Rhinolophus ferrumequinum: one gene and its partner. The protein of the gene in region 1 interacts with the protein of each later gene in a biochemical or structural test. Links are inferred from orthologs where the notes say so. Each region holds a gene or a part of one and is shown in the gene's direction. Other genes may lie near its edges. The genes, in order: PIAS3 and MITF.

Region 1 (11,718 bases):
GAAAATAAAACAGGAGGCAGTGTGGTACTGGGTTGTCTTCATTTTTTTTCTGTTTAAAGGGGTGTGGGGGGAGAATCACAAATGGCCCCATAAGTCAGCAGCTTTCAACCTTTGATTATGATCCATAGTGAGAAGTACATTGTGTGTCCTGTGTGTACACACTTGAAATAGTATGTACCCTTACTATTTCTGTTCTAGTCTATTCTCTGCTATGATGCTCCACTGAAAAATATTGGTCAAAACACATCCAATAATGGGTCAAGACTTTGAAAAACAGCCCTCTGTGAAAATGGGTATGGACACTCTTCCTTTCTCTTTCTCAAATCTGTCTCTTACCAACTGACACAGTTCTACTCATTTTTTTTTTCTACCTTGGGATTCCCGAGTCCACTATTTTTTTTAAGGAGGAGAGATTGAGAGACCTGGATGTTGAGGTGTACAATCTGAAAGATTCTGTCATGTGTTAAACCGTGTGTTTTGAAGCACGTGGTCTCATGTGCTCAGTGTTCTAGTCTGGAAGGGGATGAACGGACATTCAGAGGTGGCTTCTTCCCTCCAGTTCTGTTCTCAGACTGAAAAAATCTATCTCTCTTGGTTTCTTCCCATGGGTCTCCTCCCCTTTCTGTGCGTCCAACAACTAGACCTTTAGGTGAGAAAGAAGCAGTGAAGTCCTCCAACATCTGGAGTTTTGGTTTGGTGGCCCACACTTTGATCCCTCCCCATTTCTTCTCTTAGCCCGCCCCCTGCTGGGTTAAGCTGGGTCAGCCAGCCGTGGTTTGGCAGTACAGAGACTGAAGTGGGTTGAGAGAAGAGTGGGGAGAGGTTGTCGTGGAAGACAGGGGGCCACACCAGGGCTGCAGAGTCTGGCTCCAGGGTTTGGCCAGAAAAGAGCAGTTGTGTGAATGAGGTCCTAGGAGAAGATGAGAGTCAGCTTTGGGGTGTGTGTGGATGGGTACAGGACTGCTTTAAGGCTGGGAGAATAGAGACACAGGGATTGATGGAGAAAGGGAGAAGGGGTACAACTGCCAGAAGAGCCTCAAAAAGGTCCTAGTCATTTCTATTAAGAGGAATGAACCTCTCTTTTCTTTCCTGCTCTTAGAGTTACCAGAAAATATAAAAGGCCTGACTGTTACATTCCTTCTTACATGGAGTATAGGGTGGGAAGAATGCAGAAACTGCCAAGAGAAGGGTCCAGAGACGGGGGGAGATCATTTGGCTAAGTTCAAGTATGAGTCAGGAAATAGCTTTGGTAATGGCAGCCAGGCCTCGGGCTCCCTCCAGACTCCTGGAAGCTGATCCCAGGATGGCTGAGCTGTGGGAATGGTCAGTGATGTTAAGATTAACGCAGGAGTGGAAGCTTCCCCAGCCTTTGGTCTTCCCAAACAATCTCCATCTATACAACCCCATAAACTGTGACCCCAACAACCCAAGCCCTGAAATTCTCCTTGATTTCATAAATAAGTCTCTCCCAAAGTAACCGTAGTCCTAATGTCCCCCCATCCCTCCTGGGCTGTCCGTTTCATGGGACTTTGGTAGCGGTTTACTACTCCTGTTTCACTTTCCCGTCGCTCCCCAGCCTTCAGATGTAGGGGTTTATGGGTAAAGCTTGGTGGGCCATGATGGGGTTCAGATTCTGTCTTTGAATGTCCTCAATCTGGAACTTGGTCCTGATTTGCAGATTCCCTCCTTTGTCTGGTAACATTAATTTATTACACTGATATTTAAAGAGTCTACTACGTGCCAGGCCCTGGGGATAGAGAGTGGACAGCACCGAGAAGGTTCTTGTCCTCATGGAGCTTGCTTGCACGCAGGATCAGATTCAGGTGCCCTGCAGGGTTCCTAGTTTTCGAGCATCTTGTAGGGATGCCGAACTTAGAACTCAAATGAACTATTAACGGAGATGCCTCCTTTATGAAATCACTAGGAACCAAGCTGAGGTTGACTTTCTTTTATATTTTTACAGCTTTAATGAGGTATAATTGACATACAATAAACTGTATGAACTTACAGTGTACAGTTTAAGTTCTGACATGTGTATATACCCATGAAACCATCTCACCATAAAGATCATGAACATCCATCATTCCCAAAGAGTTCCGTCGTCTCTCTCTCTTTTTAAATCCTCTCTATCCTCCTTCCCTCGAAATCACTGAAAATTCTAGAAGATACAAAATAGTCCATAGTCACTTTTTTTTTTTTTTTTGAAGTTAGAAAGTTTGTTGAAGAAGAAAAGCGCCGACAGAGAAGCCACCAGGGGCAGAGTCTAGATAGAGCAGACAACTGCTCATAATAACTTTTGATCTACAGGAATGAATAGGAAAAACAATGAGCTCAGGGCCTGATGAAGACTCAAGTGTTGGAGACAATGGTTGGGATTAGGGACCAAATACTTGAGATTCAGATTAGCTTGAGGTCCCACCATTGCTCGCAGCAAAGCAGCAAGGAAAGAACCTGAGTGTCAGGTGAAAGAGGACATCTTCCCTAAGGACAAAAATCCACTAAGTAGTTGGGCATAGTGCAGTTTAGAAGGTACATGGGATATTGGTAGGCTGGCACCTTCAGGCCTAAGGCTTGGGTGGGGTCTCATGGGGGAGGATTACACTGAAGGTTTAAACTAGATGAGAGAATTATTATTATTTACTAAAGCACTCTTTTTGTATGCTGATTATAGTATGCTGATTAAGTGTCTTGTCACTGCTGCTAGACTGAGAACTCCTGCAAGGCTTTTATATCCCAAGCACCTAACAATGTCTGAACAGCATTCAACTATTTATTGAACAAACACATTAGCATTTAGGTCCCAGCTAACAACTATAAAATGCTATGTTTGTTGTGAGTAACTCGTTTGGGTAAACTGCCCTGAAGTTGGTGCTTTCAGGAGACGTGCATGTAAGGGATTAGCTTGGCAGAGGATGGGGCCTCTGGAAGGTCCAAGGCTTTGGAAGAAGGGAAGTAGTTGAGAAAGGGGCAGAAAAATGCCATATTTGGGCAAGAAAACCTCCCCTCTGTTCACCTTCAGCTACACCAAAGGTGTGGGGTCTCTGGTGTCTGCCCGTGTATTTGGGGTAGGGCGTGGGAGACCACAGGTAGAGTTAGGGTTCAGGTACACTTTGGATTCTAGCAGCCCAGAACCTCTTTATGCGGTCAGATCCCTGGTCCAGGCCGTCTCATTTCCAGCATGCCTCCACCTCAAGCCCGCACACCAGAGCAAGGGGTCAGAGCGGTGGTGAAAAAGCTGAGCTCCGAGAACGTCCACTCTCCCCGCCGGCTGACTCCGAGGAGTTAAAGTCTCCGGAGCCTGACTCCGAGTCCCTCCCTCTCCCGCCTCAGACTCCGCCCCCTCCCCGCCAGCCGGCAGTCCAGGCCGGCTTACCCGGGAGGGGGCGGCCCCAGCCGGAGCGCTGGGCCGGGCGGAGCTCCCGCTCGGGCGGAGCTGCGGCTGCAGCGTCCAGCTGCCTGACCGACCTCCAGCCGTGCAGCCTGCGGGAGCCGCGCCGGGCCCCCTCCCCCACCTCCCCAGCCCACCCTCTGAGCGCCCTCCCCGCTCCCCGCTACCGAGCTGGTAAGTCACGCTCTCGCACCAAACTTTTCTGCTGCCAAGTCTGAGTCCTGCGGCCGGACCTCCAGCCACATTGTAGTTGGTGGTGGTGGTTGGCGGGCGGTGTGTGTGGGGGAGGTTTGAAGGATTGAGAATAGCCGTCGTGAAATGAGCTATTCACGACTCCATTGCTTCCCTCAAATGGGTCGGATCTCACCCATTTCCCGAGTTGGCAGAACTCATGATTTTAGCGGCTTAAACTTGTAAAGAGGAAGAGGAGGGTATTTTGGAACTTCGCTCCCCCATCCCCCATTTCTGTAAGTTTTAGCAGTTCTCGATACTTTCCCTCGGTATTTCAAGACGCTGGTTTCCTAAAAGCTCATTCCCTCCTAACTCCGGCGTGGCAAAACCTCCTCCCCCAGGCACCTCTGTCCCGCCTCCTCTCCTTTACCCCCCGGAACCCCGCGATCGGGCTGTACACTCCCTCGGTGTCCACCCGTTTCGCATCCCGGCCAAAGACGTGCCGGGGCTGGGTCCGGAGTGGTGGGAGGGGCTGAGGCTGGGGCTTGTCCGGAGCCAGGCGGGCGGGGCCGGGAAGGGGAGGTGTAGGGGCCGGACGGGGCGGAGCAGGCGGCATTTGCGGCCGGCGCCGGGGTGGAGAGTTGTGCGCCGGTCCCTGGGCCTGAGCTCGGGCTCGGGCTCGGGCGCCTGCGATGTCTCAAGATGGCGGAGCTGGGCGAATTAAAGGTACCGGCCCCCTCCCCCATCCCCATCTGGACTGAGCCCGGCGGTCCGCCGAGTCGGGGGAGCGACCGAGACTGGGTGCTGACGGCTCGGGTGGGGGCTGGAGACGTGGCGGGAACTGGCTGCTGGGGATGGGAGAGAAGTGGCTGTGGCGAGGAAGGGGCTGCGGCGGAGCTCCGGGGGCGGGGCCGAGGGGCAGATGGAGGGGTGGGGCCGAGGGGAATTGCAGCTGTTGGGGGCCGATGCGCAGGGGGCGGGGACGCGGGGTAGGAGTGGGATTTGGTGGTGGGGGCAGATGTAGGGGTAGGGTCAGGGGGAGAAGCTGCTGTAGAGGCACAGGGGGCAGGTTGATCAAAGCCAAGAGATGCGACAGTAGGGGCAGATGTAGGGGTGGGACTGGGGGTCAGGCGTACTCGAGGCTCCTCTGGGAAATGCAGCTGAGAGGTAGAGGCTTTGGGGCTGCTTTTGGGATCCCAGCCTTGGGAAGTACCAGTGGGCGGCTGATCTAGGGGGCGGGGCTGTGCAGGCGCTAGATGGAGGGGTGGGGCAGAAGCATCCTGGAGCCCGGGAGGCAGGTCCTGGAGCCTCACTGAGTTTGGTACCTTTGGGCAGAGACAGAGGAGGCTGAAACTATGGGATAGAAAGGGGGGAGTTCTTGTCAAAGCTAATGGGGACATAAGCACAGGACAGAGGAAATAAGGATGGGCAAAAAGGTATAGGAGCAAGTTTTTTTCATCACACTCCTCAAGATTCACAGAAGGGAGTCCTTTAAGGAGAGAGCTTCTTGGGTTCTCCCACTGCCATGCAGTCTTGAGAGTAACCATGTCCGAGGCCATCTCACAGAACCTTAAAAACCCTTTGGGTTCATCCCCTTGCCTCCCGGCTTTGTTCTGCCCTTTGAAATGGAGCCATAGCCCTGGGCAGGCCTGAGGTCTAGTCACTGGGCCCAGCTGCCTTTGGGAGAGCTTGTGATTCCTCTCCGGGGCCACCTGCCTTCTCCTCAGTCTCCCAGGGCCTCTATTTAGAGTCATGCCCTCTCCTCTTCCTCTATGGAGGTGGGGAGGTGGGGGCAATCACTCATTTTTCTCTATGAAGGAGACTAGCAGGATATTTGCTCCTGACAGATGGAGTAAACAGGCAGGATACCTGGACTTGGGGATTCACCGTTAGCCACGTCGCCCCAAGGTTTGGTCTTGTTTCCCTCCCAGAAAAATAGGACTGAGGGAGGGGTGGTTAAGTAAATACACTGAGAAAGGATTTGGGGGAGTTGTGAGCATTGAACCCTGACCTGAAAACCCTGGCTTGGGGAATATAGCTGAGGTGGACTGAAGTGTCTGGAGAGGTGGGCGGGGGACACAGTCCTCCAGCCACCTGGCCCCCTTCTTCTCCGTGGGGCGTCTGGCCTAAAACCTCTTCTCCCCCTCCTTCTCCCCGTGTCCTATCCTCTTCCCAAGAGGCTGGGATGGATCTGAAGGTCTGAGAAAGAGCAGGAGAGGAGATAAGCAGCTTAAAGGAGCGTCCAGGTTTGAGGCGGGGATGGAGGTTAGGAGCCTGTAGTGGACTCAGGTGTGCCTGAGGATGGCTTGCTGTCTCTCGTGCCCCCACCAGGTCAGCTTCCAGGCAAAGGGAGATAGGGTTGCTCAAGCTCTGGGGGGGGCGGTGGGGGTGGGGGCGGTGGTGAGGTTGACTGAGGGTTGCTACAATGGGACTGAGATGTCCCTTTGGCCAGGTTGGGTGTCTGACAGTAATTCACTGGCAGCAAAGCATCTTTATGATCAGTGCTGGAGGGAAAGAGGCATTGACCTCCCTGGTAGCTCTGCCCCAGGCTCCTCGGCAGGACAGGCCCATGGAAGATAGGATTCTCAAGCTTCTCTGTTGCCCACAGCACATGGTGATGAGTTTCCGGGTGTCTGAGCTCCAGGTGCTCCTCGGCTTTGCTGGCCGGAACAAGAGTGGACGGAAGCACGAGCTCCTGGCTAAGGCCCTACACCTCCTCAAGTCCAGCTGCGCCCCCAGCGTCCAAATGAAGATCAAAGAGCTTTACCGCCGCCGCTTCCCCCGGAAGACCCTGGGGCCCTCAGATCTCTCCCTGCTCTCTCTGCCCCCTGGCACCCCTCCTGTAGGCTCCCCTGGTCCTCTAGCTCCCATCCCCCCAGCCCTCTTGGCCCCTGGCACGCTGCTGGGCCCCAAGCGTGAAGTGGACGTGCACCCCCCTCTGCCCCAGCCTGTGCACCCTGATGTCACCATGAAGCCATTGCCCTTCTATGAAGTCTATGGGGAGCTCATCCGGCCCACCACCCTCGGTATGGCTCTTTGTGGTCCCTCAGCCTTCCCGACTCCATGTCTCCAAGCCTCTCGTAGGCTTTATTCTTGTGGGATCAGCAGCCTGGGATGGGGCGACTTCTGCGGCTGCCTGTGCACAGGCTTGGGAGTAACTGCCCTTTGTGTCCTCAGCATCCAACTCTAGCCAGCGGTTTGAGGAAGCGCACTTTACCTTTGCCCTCACTCCCCAGCAAGTGCAGCAGATTCTCACATCCAGGTGAATCATCCTTCAGTCCTTCTGCCTCATCCTCGGGCGGTTATCCCTGGCCCCTGCTCTCTCTTCTCTCTGCCCTGCTCTCCTCCCTGTCCGTCCTTCTGCACTCGCTTTGCTGCTCGTTCTCTTGTATGTCTCATCTCTTCACTATCCTCTGCATATCTAAGTTCTGTGTCTCTGTTCACCTCTGCCCTCCAAGGGCTGCATACTGACACCTCTCCCTCTCTATTACAGAGAGGTTCTGCCAGGAGCCAAATGCGATTATACCATACAGGTGCAGCTCAGGTGAGTGGACCCTCCCTCCCTCCCTCCCTTCCTCCCTGCCAGGCTCCCGTTGGGGGTGGGAATGAAATAAGGGCATGACAGGTACTCCTAGGAGATGTCCCCACTCTGCTGTGTCCACTGGCCCTGGGTCTCTTTTGGGTGCTGCGGCCTACGGATACCTACCACTGATTTTCTGAGGTTCCCTTCCTCTCTGCCAGATTCTGCTCAAGAAACTGCCTCTTGCCCTTTCATCTTCTCTCATCTCTTCCCAGGTTCTGTCTCTGTGAGACCAGCTGCCCCCAGGAGGATTATTTTCCCCCCAACCTCTTTGTCAAGGTCAATGGGAAACTGTGCCCCCTGCCGGTAAATGCTCTTTTCCTTCTTCTGGCAGTAACCCCTTCCCTGTTTCAGTTCCTAAATATTAACTACAAACTTGTTGTGAAAGAGACATGCCTAGTACAGTGCCTGGCACATAGTAGGTGCTCAGTTTACTGACCGAATCACTATGATCTAGAAAGTATTAAGATAGCGCTGAACAAGGGTTTTGTCAGAACTCAGAGGAGGGGTGTTAGTTCCACCCAAAGGTTCTTCAGAAGCGATGACACCCAGAGCTGAGAGTCGGACGAAATGGGGCGGCCCTATTTTTCCTCCTCCGGAACTCAGTGAGTGGGTTCCTGTTTCCTTGGTCAATGAAGAAACTCCTTTTCCCCCAGGAATGAACCCCACCCACAACCCTTCGATAGTGCCCCACTTTTGTGAGTCACAAAATTGACTGAGCTAGTCTTCCCTCCGGGAAGTGAGGAACCCGAGACAAGATGTCTTGACCAGGCCCTCCCTTCCCCAGGGTTACCTTCCCCCGACCAAGAACGGGGCTGAGCCCAAGCGGCCCAGCCGCCCCGTCAACATCACCCCCCTGGCTCGACTCTCGGCCACTGTTCCCAACACCATCGTGGTCAACTGGTCATCAGAGTTTGGACGGGTGAGCATGGCTGAGGCAGAGAGGCTGAGAAGCCTGCAGGGAGTGATGGGAATCCCCCAGTGTCCTGGGTTCGGGAAGCATCTTCCTCTTTATGGGGCTCTTTGCCTTAACCCGCTGTCTCTGGTCCTCATGGGACAAAGGGTAGGGGGGTGGTAGAAGCTAATTGTCTCCCCCACAGAGCAGAAGCTAATTCTCTCCCCCACCTCCAAGTAGAATTACTCCTTGTCTGTGTACCTGGTGAGGCAGTTGACTGCAGGGACCCTTCTACAAAAACTCAGGGCAAAGGGCATCCGGAACCCAGACCACTCCCGGGCACTGAGTGAGTAGCGTCCCGCTCCCTTCCCCTCTCTCATCTGGATCCAAGTCTCCCTGGCCCTCCATCCTTGACAATCAAACCCATACCCCTCTTAGGACAATGTATCTCACCTCTCACCTTAAGCCCACGCCTCCCCTTATCTCCCTTACCAATTTCGTGGTTGTGAAGTCAGACCACTCCCACGTGCTGAGTGACACTCTTGTATTCCCAGTTATCCATCTGCTTTGCACCTCCCACACCCTAACTCTGGCCCCCCTGGAATATGGCTTCTCCAGACTGGGAAGAATCTTAAGGATCGTCCAATCTAACTGTCTCGTGGTGCTTCAATTCCCCCTAGGTCATGTCTGCCAAAGTGTCACCCAGCTGTATTTAAGCATCTTCAGGGATGATGAAATCTCTGTCCTCCACCCAGCCTTCATAAGTCCATGTGACATCCCACTGGCCTCCAAAGCCTCTCCCCAGCTGTCTGTCAGCCAGAGCCATCTGCTTCTGGCCTTGCCTCCTTCCTGGCTCCCTCACTAGCCTTGCTGACCCCATGGCTCTGGCCTCACTCTTGTTTCAGTCAAGGAGAAACTGACCGCTGACCCAGACAGTGAGGTGGCCACTACAAGTCTCCGGGTGTCACTCATGTGTCCGGTGGGTACAAGAGAGAAGAGAAGCGGGAGGAGGGTTGGGTTAAGCCTCCGGACTCAGAGGATGGTTCCTGGGCTCTTAGAGGAGGTGTGGGGACTCTGACCAGAGAACTTTTTCTCCTCAGCTGGGGAAGATGCGCCTGACGGTCCCTTGTCGTGCCCTCACCTGTGCCCACCTGCAGAGCTTCGATGCTGCCCTTTATCTACAGATGAATGAGAAGAAGCCAACGTGGACATGTCCTGTGTGCGACAAGAAGGCTCCTTACGAATCTCTTATCATTGATGGGTAGGGCCATTCTGCATTCCGGGTTCTCACCGAGGGCGGCCACGGGCCCCTCCCCCACATCTATGCCTGTTACTGGGGATTTCCAGCCGTGAGGACTTACTGTACGCTAAACGTGGTGCTGAGCACTTTGCAGGCCTTCTCTCCCTGAATCCTCCTAATAACCCCATGACGGGTACTGGCGTGACAGGTGAAGAAACAGCCCTAGAGAGATTGAGTCTTTTGCTCAGTTCTGTTGTTAAGTGGCACAGCCAGTGGACCACACTGTTACAATGTTCGCCTGCCGAGCTCTCCCTGAGCGTAGCAGGCAAGTGCTTCTGAAGCGTGTGCTGATCGAGCTAGTTCCGACCCCCTTCCCGAGCCCACACTATGGTTCTTGTGCCCAGTGCCCTTTTTCAGATGGTTTATGGAGTTCGGCATCCTTCTTCCCTTTGTCTTGAAACTAGTACTACACAAAATAGGTGCTGAAAATGTGTTTGTTTTAAAGCTTAGCATTTAAAGTTTGCAAAGCTCTTTTACATGCTTTGTTTGATTCGAATAACAACTCAAAGAGGTCAGTAGGGTAGGTAATACCCACGTTTTATAGATGAGCAAGCTGAGGTTCAGGAAAGGGAGTCCCAGAATTCCCTGGGGACTGTCCCAGCCATCTCCCAGCCCATGAATTCCCTTTTCTCCCCCCAACCCCCCAGTTTATTCATGGAGATTCTTAATTCCTGTTCGGATTGTGATGAGATCCAGTTCATGGAAGATGGCTCCTGGTGCCCAATGAAACCCAAGAAGGAGGCATCTGAGGTTTGCCCCCCGCCAGGGTATGGGCTGGATGGTGAGTGACCCCCTGTCCCCCAGCACAGCTAAGTCTGGGGTGGCCTCTTCTCTGAGACACAGTCTTCTTACCACCCACAGGCCTCCAGTACAGCCCAGTCCAAGAGGGCAATCCGTCAGAGAATAAGAAGAAGGTTGAAGTTATCGACTTGACAATAGAAAGCTCGTCAGACGAGGAGGACCTGCCCCCGACCAAGAAGCACTGCCCTGTCACTTCAGCTGCCATCCCGGCCCTACCTGGAAGCAAAGGGTATGAGGAAGCAGGCTGAGTCTATAGCAGAAGGGACCAAGGAAGAAGTGCGAAGCTTTCTGGCCAGTGTGCCAACCCTGGGGTGGAGAGGGCATGTGGGAGGCTGAGCTGGGTCAGGGCATCTGCGGGTCACTGGCTACCCCAGCTCCTCCTCTCTCCTCAGAGTACTGACATCTGGTCACCAGCCATCTTCGGTGCTACGGAGCCCTGCTATGGGCACGCTGGGCGGGGACTTCCTGTCCAGTCTGCCCCTACACGAGTACCCACCTGCCTTCCCACTGGGGGCCGACATCCAAGGTAGGACACTGATCACAGGGCGGGGCCCCACACTGCCGCATCCTCCCCAGAACCAGATCGGAACCCCTGCTCCTCTTCAAGCCTTCTGGCTGTCTTTGCAAAGGGCCACAATCCATGAACTTCTTTGGTGTTTCTTTGGCGGTGAAGGGGTCAGACAGGAGGTTGATTTTCATTTTTTTTTCCTACCAGGTTTAGATTTATTTTCTTTCCTTCAGACTGAGAGTCAGGTAAGTGGCCCTGATCTTCCCATGGAGATGTCAGATCTCTGAGGCTTCCTTTCTGGGCCCTGATGGGCACCCTCCCTCTCCTTTTCCCTGGAGTCCTAACCCTGCTGCTCTGTGAGGGAGGGGGGAGGGTGCAGGCTGTTTATTTCCTTCCGAGGCCCCACTGGTACCTCCTCAGCTTCTCACGCGTTCCTGGGTCCCCGGTTACTGTTCTGTGTAGAGATTTTGGTATCATCCTGCCGCTGCCTGCTCACCCCCACGCCATGCGCACTTGAGTACCAGGCCTGCCCCAACCGGACATTCCTCACATTTCAGACGCCCACGAGGCCAAGAACCTAGCAGGGTGGAGGGGCTGTCTCCAGGCAGGGAGTCGGGGGGCGGTGTAGGGGAGTAGGGAAAGGGTCAGCGAGAGGCTGTCCTGCTTCTCAGAGAACACCTTGGGATCCAGAGGGCTTGTTTACCCCAGGTGCTATTCCTGAGGTGAGAGATGGGAAGGCGTGTTGTCAGGATACAGCCCTAACCTGTGCCCTTCATTCCTCCCAGCACTATGGTCCCTCCGTCATCACCTCGCTAGATGAACAGGATGCCCTTGGCCATTTCTTCCAGTACCGAGGGACCCCTTCCCACTTCCTGGGCCCACTGGCCCCCACACTGGGGAGCTCGCACCGCAGCACCACTCCAGCACCCCCTCCTGGCCGTGTCAGTAGTATTGTGGCTCCTGGGGGGGCCTTGAGGGAGGGGCACGGAGGACCCCTGCCCTCAGGTCCCTCTTTGACTGGCTGCCGGTCAGACATCATTTCCCTGGACTGAGTCCCCTGGATTGTGGAACCTTT
Region 2 (12,003 bases), on another chromosome or scaffold:
CATATATATATATATATAAAATGTACAATGACATATACTGAGGTATGAATATCTCTGTAGTGGTATTATGGGCCTTTTTCTTTTACTTATCTGCAGTTTCTAATGTTCAAATAATAAATATTATTACTTTTCCAATAAGAAGATAAATCTATTTTAAATATTTTGTATAAAAGCCAGCAACCTCACTTTGGTGGCTGTTAGAGGAAGGCAGAGAGGAGAAATGCCCACTTTGGAGTGTATATTCCTTCTCTTTTCTTTATTATCTCCTGGAATGTCTTGTGTTCTCCTTCTTATTCCAATTCCTGTGGCCTCAGACATCCTGGAACAAGAATGTAAAGCATGACTTCACTGACGGCTCTGCATTGGGATTGGAGTCCGAGTCCACACCAAGGTCAGACCGCTCTTCCTCCAAGGTCAGACCACTCTTCCTCCATTGCCTTGGTGACTGTGAGCTGACAATCACCTGCTGCCATTGGCCTGGGGGTTCCTGAGCTACAAAGGCACTACTTTGCTTTGAGTGTTTCCTTGACCAAACTTTAGTCGGTCTACTCTGAATTCTCTTCCCAATTAGGCCTTGACTTTTGGACTTCCGTTTGCATGGACCAATTCTGAACAGAAATCCCATCAAGTCGTGTTAGCCAACACCTCTCACTCTCAATAGCTGATCACCTTCCTCATCACCCGGCAGCCTCACATCCCCCGCTGATTCCCCTCCTTTGCCTCCAGTGAGAATCCTGTTCATTCAGTTTAGAAAAGAATTCTACGACACTTTCAGTAATTTTCTACCCTCTGACCACCTTCCAGCCCTGCCCCCATTCTGCTTCTGCCTATAAATCCTCCTCCGCTCCTTGTATTTGGGGTTAAGCCAATCTCCTCCACTTCAAAGCCCCCTCACAGCCGTTCCTGACTTACTGCAATAGTCTTCCTGAATAAAGTTGGCCTAACTGTTCTTTAACAAGTGTCAGAATAATTTTTTTCTTTAACAGCTTTTAACCAGGTGAAACCATCTCCCAAACCACTGTTCAGTTCTTAGCCCTGGTGACTCTTCAATTGCCCCATTGCAATCAGCTCTTTCTGAAACCTGTCAGACCTTCATTCCCAAAGTCATGGAAATCACACTCCAGATGTCATCCAGCCTTTCCTAATCCATTCATGTTCAGATCCATGCCTCACAAATTTTGCATTGGATTATTTATTAATCATCCTCTTTTTAGCTTTCTTCTAGCCTCGTTTTGGTACCCTTCTTTTGTTGTGCTTTCTTTCTGCCTGGCTTGATCACCCCTTAAAGTAGTGGTTCTAAAATTTCCACATGCCTAAGAACTCACTGGGGAGCTTGCTTAGAAAGCAGATTGTCAGTTGTCACCCCTTTGAGATTCTGATTTAGCAGTTCTTGTTCAGGGCTTGGAAATCGGCACTTTAATTGGCACCCCAAATAATTATGATACACGTGGTTAATGGACGATACTTTGAGAAGGGCGCTCCACTTTCGTCTCCTGGTCCACACAGCATAGCACTACGCCCTCTCCCCTCACCTCCCTTCATTGGCTCTAGACAGCTGCATGGTACAGCATTTGTAAGAACGATATATTTGGAAGACCAGGACGCACAGACTCCTGGAGGAAACATGGATAATCCAGAGTGGTCCGTGGCACCCCTGAAGTTGCAAATAACACTTTGAGTATGCTCTTTTTTCTAGTAAGAAAGTCCACAACTTTCATCAGATTCTCAAGGAAATCCACTAACCAAAAAGTTAAAAAATCTACAAAGCCATAAGCAGATGTATGCCTTGAAAATTAACTACTTTCCCACTTGACATATGCCATGCCTGAACTTTGTGTGGCTTAGATTGGTTTCTTGGGGCGGGCCATGTCTGGGCACCACCTTGGCACATGCAGGAAACGTGCGTTGGGAGGACTGTGCAGAAAGCTGGCCTGCTGACAACCTCCTTCCCTTAACAGTTTTCTGTTATTGACATTGTTCTCCCTCTGGGCTTGTCTCATCTTTTTAAAGTAACAAAATAGTTTCATTACCATTCAATCCTGTGCTTATTAAAATACACTTCAAATAAGAGAAACAGAAGTTGAATTAGATTATGTTTGAAAAGGAGGTGGGGTGGGGAAGCTTTATGCGTTTTTGTACACATAACTGAATTTACTGCTGTCAGGGAGACTGCAAAATAGGTTCATTTTATATTTGAAAAATATTAAGTCTCTAAAGTAGGGATGGTTGGGTAGCTAGAATTTGGACACAAAACCTAGATCTGCCAATCAAGTCCAGCCTTGAACTCGGACTGAATGATAAATAGGTGAAGTAATTGGAAGTAATTGGAATAAATAGGTGAAGTAATTGGAACTCTGTCTGATCCATTCTGGTGGCAGGTGGTTGTGGCTACATCCAGTTCCCAGCATTTCGACAACATCCCATGTCCTGTCAGGTTAAGGGGGTAATTTGTGATGTTTAGTGACACAGTGGTGGCCCTGGTGGGGGCCTTCACTAGCCCAGGTCCATGGCATAGATTTTGGAGTGGTTCCTAGTTGCACAGTGTCTGTGCCAGATTCTGCTGCTGTTCCTGAGGCTTTGTGAGCTACTCAATACACTTTCAATGAATTCCTTTCTGCTTAAATCAACTATGGTCAGTTTCTGTTGCCTCTTTCCTCAAACACACCACATGCAATCCTGCGTCCATAACTTCTCATGTCCATTTTCTCTTTTTGAATCACATGCCTTTTTATCTAATTTTATCATAAAGTATACCCCATTTTAAAAAACATTATGACAGTTTATTTTCTCACTTTTTTAAGTTTAATTATTTTATCATGGAAATTTTCAAATATACACAAAAATAGAGAGAGAAGTAAACTTCCATGACACATTACCCAGTTTCAACATTTTACTCTAACAACAGATAAGAGCTTTAAAAAAACAAGATGAGCAGAATATCAGTATCATACTTAATAAAATAAACAATAATTCTTTAATATCATCCAATTCCAGTTCATGTTCACACACTCCCAGTTTTCTCCAAAATGAATTTTGACAATTGGTTTGTTCAAATTAAGCTCTAGACAAAGTCTACATAATGTATTTGAGTGATATCCCTTTTTCCCAGTTCATTTTCTTAATAGTGATATAATTTACATGTCTAATATGTCTCTTAAATCTTTAAAAATCTATAACAGTTCCTCTTTCCCCTTTATTTCATGCTACTTATTTTTTGAAGAATTTCTCAATGTCTTGTAGAATTTCTCAATTTCTGGGTTTGTCTGATTGCATCCTTGTGGTATTATTAACATGTTCTTCTCTCATTTTTTCCCTGTAAATTGGTGGTTAGATCTAGCAGCTTGATTAGATTCAATTTTTATGTTTTATACCCTAGATTTTTTCCTTGTTTTTTTTTTTTTCTTTTTTAGATCTAGGTTAGTCACATCTCCTCTGAGAATTCTTCACTTCATCTCCATCCCTGCCCTCAGGTGTTGCTGCTTTCTCAGATACTTGTTGCACCTACCTGTCTATCACTCTATTCATTCATTAAATCATTTTCATTCCTATTTCTGAAAGGGCTGGGACTACGCCCTGAGTACAGGGCCCATACATGGCTCATCCCTGCTATTTCCCCATATCTAGCACGTAATGTGGCTGGCACCGACTAGATGTTTCATAAATAGTTGTTGAGCTAAATGGATAAGACAGTACTAATCCTACACAAATGATCTGCTTCTTAGCACTTAATGTGTGGTTTCTCATTGTGGTACAAGCTTTGACTTAACTCCTGCACTGTGAGTCTCTTGAGAGCAGGAAGAAAGTAAAATTCATTCATGTATTTGGGCAACCTAACTCAATGCCATATCCATAACTAGTGCATGTTCTATACATATTAGAATGGAAACCCTTGCTCTCTATTCTTGCTGGATTTCTATGAGCTCAAATAAGAGGTACATATGACAAGCATTTGCAAAAAGTAAAGTATTAGAAAAATATAGGTCAGATTATTAGTGACAGTAATTACAATCTCTAGCCATTACTTTTGTACTTTCAATAGGCACAGTCCTTGTTTCAAATATATGGGGCTGTGAACTTTAAATCACCTTTTTAAAGAAGAGGTAACTACTCCTACTGTTTACTTCATTAACGAAGAGAAATTACAAGGGACAACTCGTTATTATGTGGATTAGTGTTATGGCAGTCCACAGAAAATGTTCCACCTAAAGGAATGAAAAGTCTTTAGGATGATTACTCAATGCTCTTGTGGTTGCAAGTGACAAAAGCATAAACCAAAATATTAATAGTTGCAGCAAAAAGAAAAAAAATTTGGTTTATAAATTTGGGAAATCTAAGGATATCTGCTTCTCTGATTGTTGATCTGATCTCATTCTCTCACTTTTTTTTTTTTATCAGCTTCCTAGGATGCCATAAGTAATTAGCTCTAAGTTTTCTTCCCTCCAGCCCCATGCTTCCCAAATCAGACGGTCTTCTCCAGTTGCCCTAGCAGAAAAGTTCAAAGGAGGACTTCTAGTCATGTTAGGATGCTGTCTGTCTCAAAAGAAATCACTGTGGCTAAGAAAACGGGGCCCACTGATTGGTCAGGATTAGGTCATATACCTACTTCCATTGGGTAGCAGATGGCACTGCAATCAATATCCTGGCCATATGTAATGGAAGAGAAGTTTTTCTGAACCAAGAGTAGAGTGAGACCAGAAGAAAAGGTGTAGGGAGAAAAAATAGCAGGTATCTGTGCGTACTTCAGAGCAACCTCAGCTCAGAGCTCTGCATCTTAGGGATCTCTCTGGAAGGTGCCCTTGGTTGGAGGTAAGTTCAGGGATCTTAGCTTTTTTGACAGTTTTTTCCCTTTAAGTTTGGTCCCTTCGGTCTAGCGGGTCACTGATATAATGAATGACCTACTAGATTGTTTCACTATGGTTCTAAAGAGGTTATAAACTGCGTTTCTAAGATGAAGGCCTTCAAAGGATGAACAGACCAAAATTATAAATAGAATCTTATTTACATTTATATTTTCTGGGGAGAAGGTCCATAGCTTTTCCTTTGATTAAAAAGCTTCTGGTGAACCAAAAGATTAAGAAGACTCCAGTGTTTCTCAACAGGTGCCATTGATTTCTGGACAAGAAAGTTTGTTACTTTACAAAATGTATAGCATCTCTGGTCCACACCCTTTAAATTTCCTGTAATATCCCCAACTCATTATGAAAATCAACCACGTTTTAAGAACCAAAAGCTGAGAATCAAGATGAGAGTAGAAGTCTAGGTCGAAAGTTCTCTTTGTGTTTTACCTTTCTCTTATTTCTGGCAGAGAATAACACTTCTTTAAACTTTTAACATCTAATTTCTAGCTTTCCATCTATCAAGGGATCTGGGATCCCACATTCATGAGCACAAAAAGCCCACTTTCCTCAGGACTGTCCAGATATTTTGCCATATTTTAATGGAATAGTGAAGGACCTAAAGGTAGTATTTTGGGGAGTAAATTTTATTGTGGGATTTTGGCAGTTGTGTACCTCCTGCACATTTCCCCAAATCTCTTTGTGGAGATCCTTAACTCTAAAATCAACCCATCCTACTTAAGATCTTTTCTATGTGAAATTACAATGTTTCATATTGAGGCAAAATGGCCAGCTCCTGGCAGACGCCTACCCAGTAGCCTCCTTAGTTTTCTCCTAGGATGATCACTTCGTTCATGAAGTCTGAAGGACAAACTCACAGATGAAATGTTAGTCTGAAAGGAGTATCTTCAAGATCTAATAAATAAAAGGATGACCACTGAGCAGCAATGTTTATAGATCACAAATCACTTTCTCTTGCATTTGACCATGCAACATCTTCGAAAACAAGCTCGTCAATCACTTCTTTTATAGATGAAGAAATTGAGGCTTCTAAGAATCAAGTGACATGCCCCAAATTGCACAGCACTTTAGAGAAGGACTCAGGATTTCAACTCTGGATCTTAACACTTTCAACGCCACCCTCTAACTCACTACCGCCTCCCTGATGCCTCAAGACACGTTTAAAAGAAGGAGTCCATCCTACTGGAACTAATCAGAGGGTGGACTGACAGCAAAAACAAGCGCTTACAGAGCCCGGCGCTTACAGAGTGCCGGGAAGCTCAGGCTGGGGGCTGACACTTGTACAGTTTTTTGCTCCACAGCTTCACCCCTGAAATGTTAGGACAATCTCGTTTGAACTCCCAGCCAACTGAGAAATTAAAAACAGACGGTGACTACGTTGTTTTGTTACTTGGTGCCTTTTTAAATTAACGGAGCCTTTCAAGAGCTGCTTTAGATTAGAAGTGGCTAATTGGATAAAGGGAAAGAGACATTCAGCTGGATGAATGGTATTGTAAAGCTCAGACTGAATTATAGAAAAGGAACGCCCAAGAACACTTTCCACAATAATATTTCAATTACTAAGTGTTCCTCCACTCTGTTCCAATCAGAGGACACGATGATGTGTCGCAGCAGTGCTGGGAAGCAAGCGGGCTGATAGGAAGTCCTTTTATTTTAAGGCAGGCATAAAGGCTAAAACTTTCTAAAGCCAAAACTATCCACTTTTTTTTTTTTTTAAATAATAAGGACTCGGCGTCTCCTCTCAAACGTCTGAGCTGGGAGGAGGGGTGACGGTAGGAGAGAGAGGCTGAGTCCGTTCTTATTACTATTAAATAGCCAAGTCTGTACCCTTGAGGCAAGTGGGGAGATAGAAGGGAGAGGAGCTGCTGACATTGACAATGAATCCAAACAGGAGTTGCACTAGCGGTGTCCACCACGCTGCCTCTGTCCCCGCCTGGCCTTCTGGGAGTTGTAGTTTTCGCGGGAAGGGCTCCCCCAGCGAGCCGGGAATGCCCCGTCCGGGCCGAACTACAGATCCCAGGCAGCGCCCGGCCGCCGGCCCCTCCCGCCCGGTGCGAGTGTAAACTCCCCGCGCCGGGCGGGCGGCCGCGCGCGGGCCAGCGGGCTGAGCTGGGCACTGTGTGGGGGCGCACGCTCGCAGGACCCAGGCCCCGCCACCTTCTGTCCGCTCGCGGGCTCAGTTCTCCCTTTCGAGCAGTGGAAGGACGGGAAGCGGGAGCCATGCAGTCAGAATCGGGGATCGTGCCGGATTTCGAAGTCGGGGAGGAGTTTCACGAAGAGCCCAAAACCTATTACGAACTCAAAAGTCAACCCCTGAAGAGCAGGTGAGTGGTGACAGCTGGAGGAAGGCGCGGCTGGAGGCTGGGGGTGCCCCGCGCCTCCCGCCCTGGGGCGAGAAGAGCCAATCGCCCGGGCTCTGGGACAAGGACCTCGTGCCCTTGCCCCGGGGCAGAGGGCGAACTGCCCCCCGCAGTTGGGGTCTGCGCCCGTCAGGCCGGTGCACCTCTGGGGGCCTCTGCCCAAGCGCACTTCGGGGGCTCAGCGGGCAGTCCGGGTGGCCGGCTCAGGCGTGGGGACCCTCGGCTGGGGATGCCAGCTGCTGAGACCGGGTGGGGGCTGGGGAGCGACCCGGCGTGGAGGTGGGGGAGGAGGCGCGGGGCCCGGCGGATGGCCGGCTGCGAAGGGGGAAAAGAGTTTCTAGTGAATCCTTCTACTGAAGATCCCAGCGGGCTGATCCGAGAGGGAGAGCTTGGGGTAGAGCGAGGCGCGACGTTGGAGGGAAGCAATTAGCTCGTTTGTTGTCGCCTCTTAGGAATCTGGCCCCTCTGGGAAAACCCGCCCCTGGCCGCCTCCAGGTGAGGTTTCGCTGAGCTCTGCCTCTCACCTTCCTGACGGCGGCCAGGGAGTGGGGCGGGGCCGGGGGCCGTGGGTGGGCGTGTCTCCGCGTCCAGGTTCAACTCAGTGGGCAGTAGAGTCCCATTCAAATCCAAGCGTATGCTGGAGGGGAGAAAGCTTTGGGACTGGAAGGCATTGGCAGTGTCCCTTCCACGGCAGCGATTTAATTAGCAAGGGACGTAAACTTTTTAGGAGAGGAGTGAAGACACCCGCTGGTCTGGCGCCCTGCCACCTCCGCTGCCCACTCCCTGTTCTACCTCCATTACCACTTCTCTGGCGGAATGGGTTGGGTGTCTTCCTTTCTCGGTCCTCGGGCCACTCCGAACATTTCCAGTGTTTACTAAGAGGGAGATGGCCATTTCAAGCTGTGAGAGTAGAGAGGGTTTATTTCCATCCCTCTCGGTTGTGAGATAAGGCTATTTAACTGGAAGGTTCAGAAGTGGTTCTGCACCCACCTCAAACCTCTCTGCCTGCCCCTCACTGTGGGTAGGGCTTGGGTTAATGGGCCCGGCGGACAGAGGGGATGAAGGGCCAGAAATCAGGGTGAGTGGAGAAGGGGAACCAAATCAGGAGGGCGGGGGTGTAATCTTTGCTTCTGGGGTGAGGAGGCTGGTACTTGGCTCTAGTAGAAAGCAGAGCTCTGTCTTTTAGGGCTGTGTCCTTTGGGGCTGTGTCAAAACTCCGAGCCCAAGTTGAGGAAGAAAATCTGAACAGCACACTCACTGACTGACCCGTTGCTGAAGCAGCCTCTGCAGATGCTAAGGGAGATTGGAAGGAAACCTCCTCTGCAGTTAGACGAATAAAACCCGCCTTTAGTTGGTGGTTTCTCTTCATAATGGCTGTTTTGTGTGTGAGCATAGATTGTGTGTGTTGGGGGTTGAGGGTTTTGAGTAATATTGTGCAAAGGGTATTGTTGGTTATGCTCACTGGGGCTTTATCTGCACTCAGCTGAAGGGACCAGTGTTTTACTGAACAACCTCTGCTTTTGCTTCTATAAGCAAATGCTTACATGGCCAGAATGAGGGAGTGTGTGTGTGTGTGTGTGTGTGTGTGTGTGTGGTCCTGAAAGGAATGAATTCACTGGACTGTTGGGGACATTTTTGATGGTAGCTGATACATAACATTAAATGAGTTTTGAAAGTGAGGAAAATACCATCTGGAAGAACCCTCATGAGTGCCATGAAACTCATGTTGAAGGATTTGGGCCTGTTCTTTTTCAGAGTTGGCAAAAAATTACTTGCAAGGGTGAACGTCCTCTGTAGCTAGCTGGCACGTGTAAGGAAAAGTGTGGTACCTGGGAAGAAATGGCTTCACACACGCTGAAGCTAGAAACAGGTGTGGGACAAAACCAGGATGAAGAGGAAGGCTAAATTGAAAAGGTTGGAAAACTGGAGCAGACACATGCTCTTTGAAATAAAGCAGTTAAACAAAATCTGGGAATAAATATGTGGGGTTGACAGAATTTCTCCATAGTGTTTTCCATAGTTGCCTAATGTATTGTCATCGACATGTGTTGTGTGTCTTTAAAAGGGCTACACATTGTTCAGAACCTTCTATGGCTTTTTGTCTTGAGTCTTTGATGGGGCACCTCCCTTCTTATACATCTTTGTTGGAAAAAGTTGAAATTGGAAGTTTAAGACGCTGTAGCTGTTTCGTCTATCGGTTGTATTTTCAGGATTGTCTCTTGGGGTTGGAAATATGTCGAATCTGCCCACTTCTCACCAACTCACTCCTCTGCGACCGCTTTGGTCCAGGCCACCATCACCCTCGCCTGGGTCATTGCAGTTGTCTCTTAACTGGTCTCCTGTCTTCTACCCTTACGCGCTTTAGTGGGTTTTCAACATACAGCCACAAGGTTCCTGTTAAAACCGGTTCTCAACCTGGGGCTGATTTTGCCTCCCAGGGTTCATTTGGCAATGTCTGGAGACATTTTTGGTTGTCACAACAGAAGGGGCTCGCTACTGGCCTCTGAGAAGTAGAGGCCTGAGATACTGTTAAACATCCTACAGTGCGCAGGATGGCCCCTACAAGGAAGAATTATCTGGCCGCAAATTGTCACCACCGAGGTTGAGAAACCTTGTGTTAAAACCTATCGCGTCACGTCATTCTCTACTCAAAAACCTGCAGTGGCTCCTAGTTTCAGTAAAACTTGAAATCCTTGAAATGGCAGAAGGCAACCAAGGTCCCTGTCAGCTCTGAGTGGATCTCTTGCTGCCACCCTCCTGGCTCGCCTGCTGCAGCCCACTGGTCTGCTTGCTGTTCCTGGAACGCTCCAGAGCCTCCCCCCTCAGGCCCTCTTAGGTTGTGTGTGCTGGTCCCGCTGCCTGGACAGTCACAGTGCTCACTCCTCCCTCCCCTCCCCCAGCCTCAAGTTGTCCTTTAAATGTCCTTCCTGCCAAGCCCACCTTGTCCACACTATTTATAATTGCTAATCTCCAAACTCGCATCTGCCTTGCCCTGCTCTTTTTTCCATAGTACTTGTGTTGTGACCATTCTGTAATTTTCTAATATGTTCATTACATGTTTCTCCACACTAGACTGCCGGCTCTGAGGGACCGGGGATTTCTGTCTCTTCATTGTTGACTGTTGGGTCCTAGAATAGCATTTCTCAACCTTGCGCTATTGACATTATGACCTGGGTAATTCTTGGTTGTGGGACTGTCCTGAGCATGGCAGGATGTTCAGCAGCATATCTGGCCTCTGCCTGCTAGAGGTCAGTTGCATCCTTTCCCCAGTTGTGACATCCAAAAATGTCTGCAGACATTGCCAAATGTCCATGGGGGCAGAATCACCCCTGTTTCAGAACCATGGCTCTAGAACAATGCCTGGCACAAAAATGGTTTGTTGTTTGAACATGTGTTGCTTTCTCCCTTAGCACCTCATTCAGGATGATTGTTTGGTTTTTGTTTTTGCCGTCATCATTGCATTCCTCTGAAAGCAGGTAACTAACCGCCAGGGTCTCTCCAAACAGGAATTGACATAGTCTTCATCTGGAGTAAACTGAGATCTGAAGCGTTTTGGGAGGAAGGATGGTTTCATTCCTAACCCTCCTGGGCTGACCTCCTGGCCTTTGAAATGTGAGGTTACTGGACTGAGAAGACCTGAACCCCATTTTGGTCCTGTTGACTGGCAAAGCTGTGTCGCAGGAGGACACATGCTACGAGACAAGGTTCTAATATAGAATTATTTGCAGTTTGGTTCCTCTAGCAAGGTTTTTGAATTCTTTGTGGTGGAAATGGTGGGGTGATAGAGGAAAAGTGCTGAATATCAAGGGTGAACCCAGAATTCACACGTAGGCACAGTCAGGTCTGTGAAACAAATGTGGAACTGTTGAATGAGCTCCCGGCAGTGAAGGAACTCTCTGTAGGTCTTTGTGATCAAAGTAAACATTTAAAAATAAGGTAGCTTCTTTCAGGTTCATGGTCCTTTTGTTTGGTGTACCATTTCTGTGGGCTTTGTAGTTGCTAATTCCTTTTCCTGGACAGACTTAGAATTGGCTTACTTTAATTTCATTTCTTTTCTTCTCAAAATTTTAGTGATGTTTTAGACAACTGTTATTTAACTTACTGCAAATGAGAAATGGAAATTAAAAGGAGTTTTTGGTTTACAATGGCAGGACAGGATATAGCGATAATTCTCCAATGCTGATTCAGAGAGAGGTGTGTGAAGTTTTCCCAGGATTTGGTGAAATGAGAAAGACAAAAAGACTGTTGTGTTACAGTCACATGCACATATTTCGGTATAAGGCCTCTGCAATTTCATGGATTTATTCTCAGGTTTTCCCTCTCATCTTCCTACTAAAAATGCCCTTTCTTTTTAGGAAATGATAATCCATTCTTGGCAAAACAAAACTGTCAACATATTATTGGTTTCTGATAGTTTTCTTGATTTTTCTCGTCTGTCCAAGCTAGGGATCCCCTAGCATGCAGATGAAGAGCACTGTCTGGCATTGCTGTCTGTTCCTAACTAGCTGAGTGACCTTTGCCAGGCTGGGTGGCCTCCAGGCTCAATTTCCTCATCTGGCAAATGGGGGCCTGCCTCGTAGGGGGTCTTCAGAAAATTAACTATGACATTGACTGCGGAAAAGTATTAGCACGGTGCCTGGTACACAGTAAGTGCTCAGTAAATTTTGGCAGATGTTGTTCTTCCTATTTTCTTTATTACTTAGCAGTAAGTCCTGACATTCTGGAAAGTGTTTGCGTTTGTTGACTTTGGCTTTCTTCTCTAAGGCTAGTGTTGTGATATAATAAAA

The links.
Region 2: the proteins of PIAS3 (region 1) and MITF form a complex in vitro, tested with the Homo sapiens proteins (2 studies listed by BioGRID). The link is inferred for Rhinolophus ferrumequinum from reciprocal best matches to the Homo sapiens genes PIAS3 and MITF.

Annotation. Positions count from the first base shown.
Region 1 is NC_046305.1:50,103,743-50,115,460, reverse strand, and holds the start of PIAS3 (E3 SUMO-protein ligase PIAS3), read left to right. Parts: upstream 1-5,845; 5' UTR 5,846-5,860; coding exon 5,861-5,890; intron 5,891-6,167; coding exon 6,168-6,585; intron 6,586-6,736; coding exon 6,737-6,821; intron 6,822-7,052; coding exon 7,053-7,103; intron 7,104-7,354; coding exon 7,355-7,445; intron 7,446-7,926; coding exon 7,927-8,061; intron 8,062-8,274; coding exon 8,275-8,380; intron 8,381-8,939; coding exon 8,940-9,013; intron 9,014-9,134; coding exon 9,135-9,295; intron 9,296-9,981; coding exon 9,982-10,115; intron 10,116-10,195; coding exon 10,196-10,364; intron 10,365-10,527; coding exon 10,528-10,661; intron 10,662-10,850; coding exon 10,851-10,888; intron 10,889-11,428; coding exon 11,429-11,695; 3' UTR 11,696-11,718. UniProt on the Homo sapiens protein: Functions as an E3-type small ubiquitin-like modifier (SUMO) ligase, stabilizing the interaction between UBE2I and the substrate, and as a SUMO-tethering factor.
Region 2 is NC_046300.1:63,429,288-63,441,290, forward strand, and holds the start of MITF (microphthalmia-associated transcription factor), read left to right. Parts: upstream 1-6,904; 5' UTR 6,905-7,076; coding exon 7,077-7,180; intron 7,181-12,003. UniProt on the Homo sapiens protein: Transcription factor that acts as a master regulator of melanocyte survival and differentiation as well as melanosome biogenesis.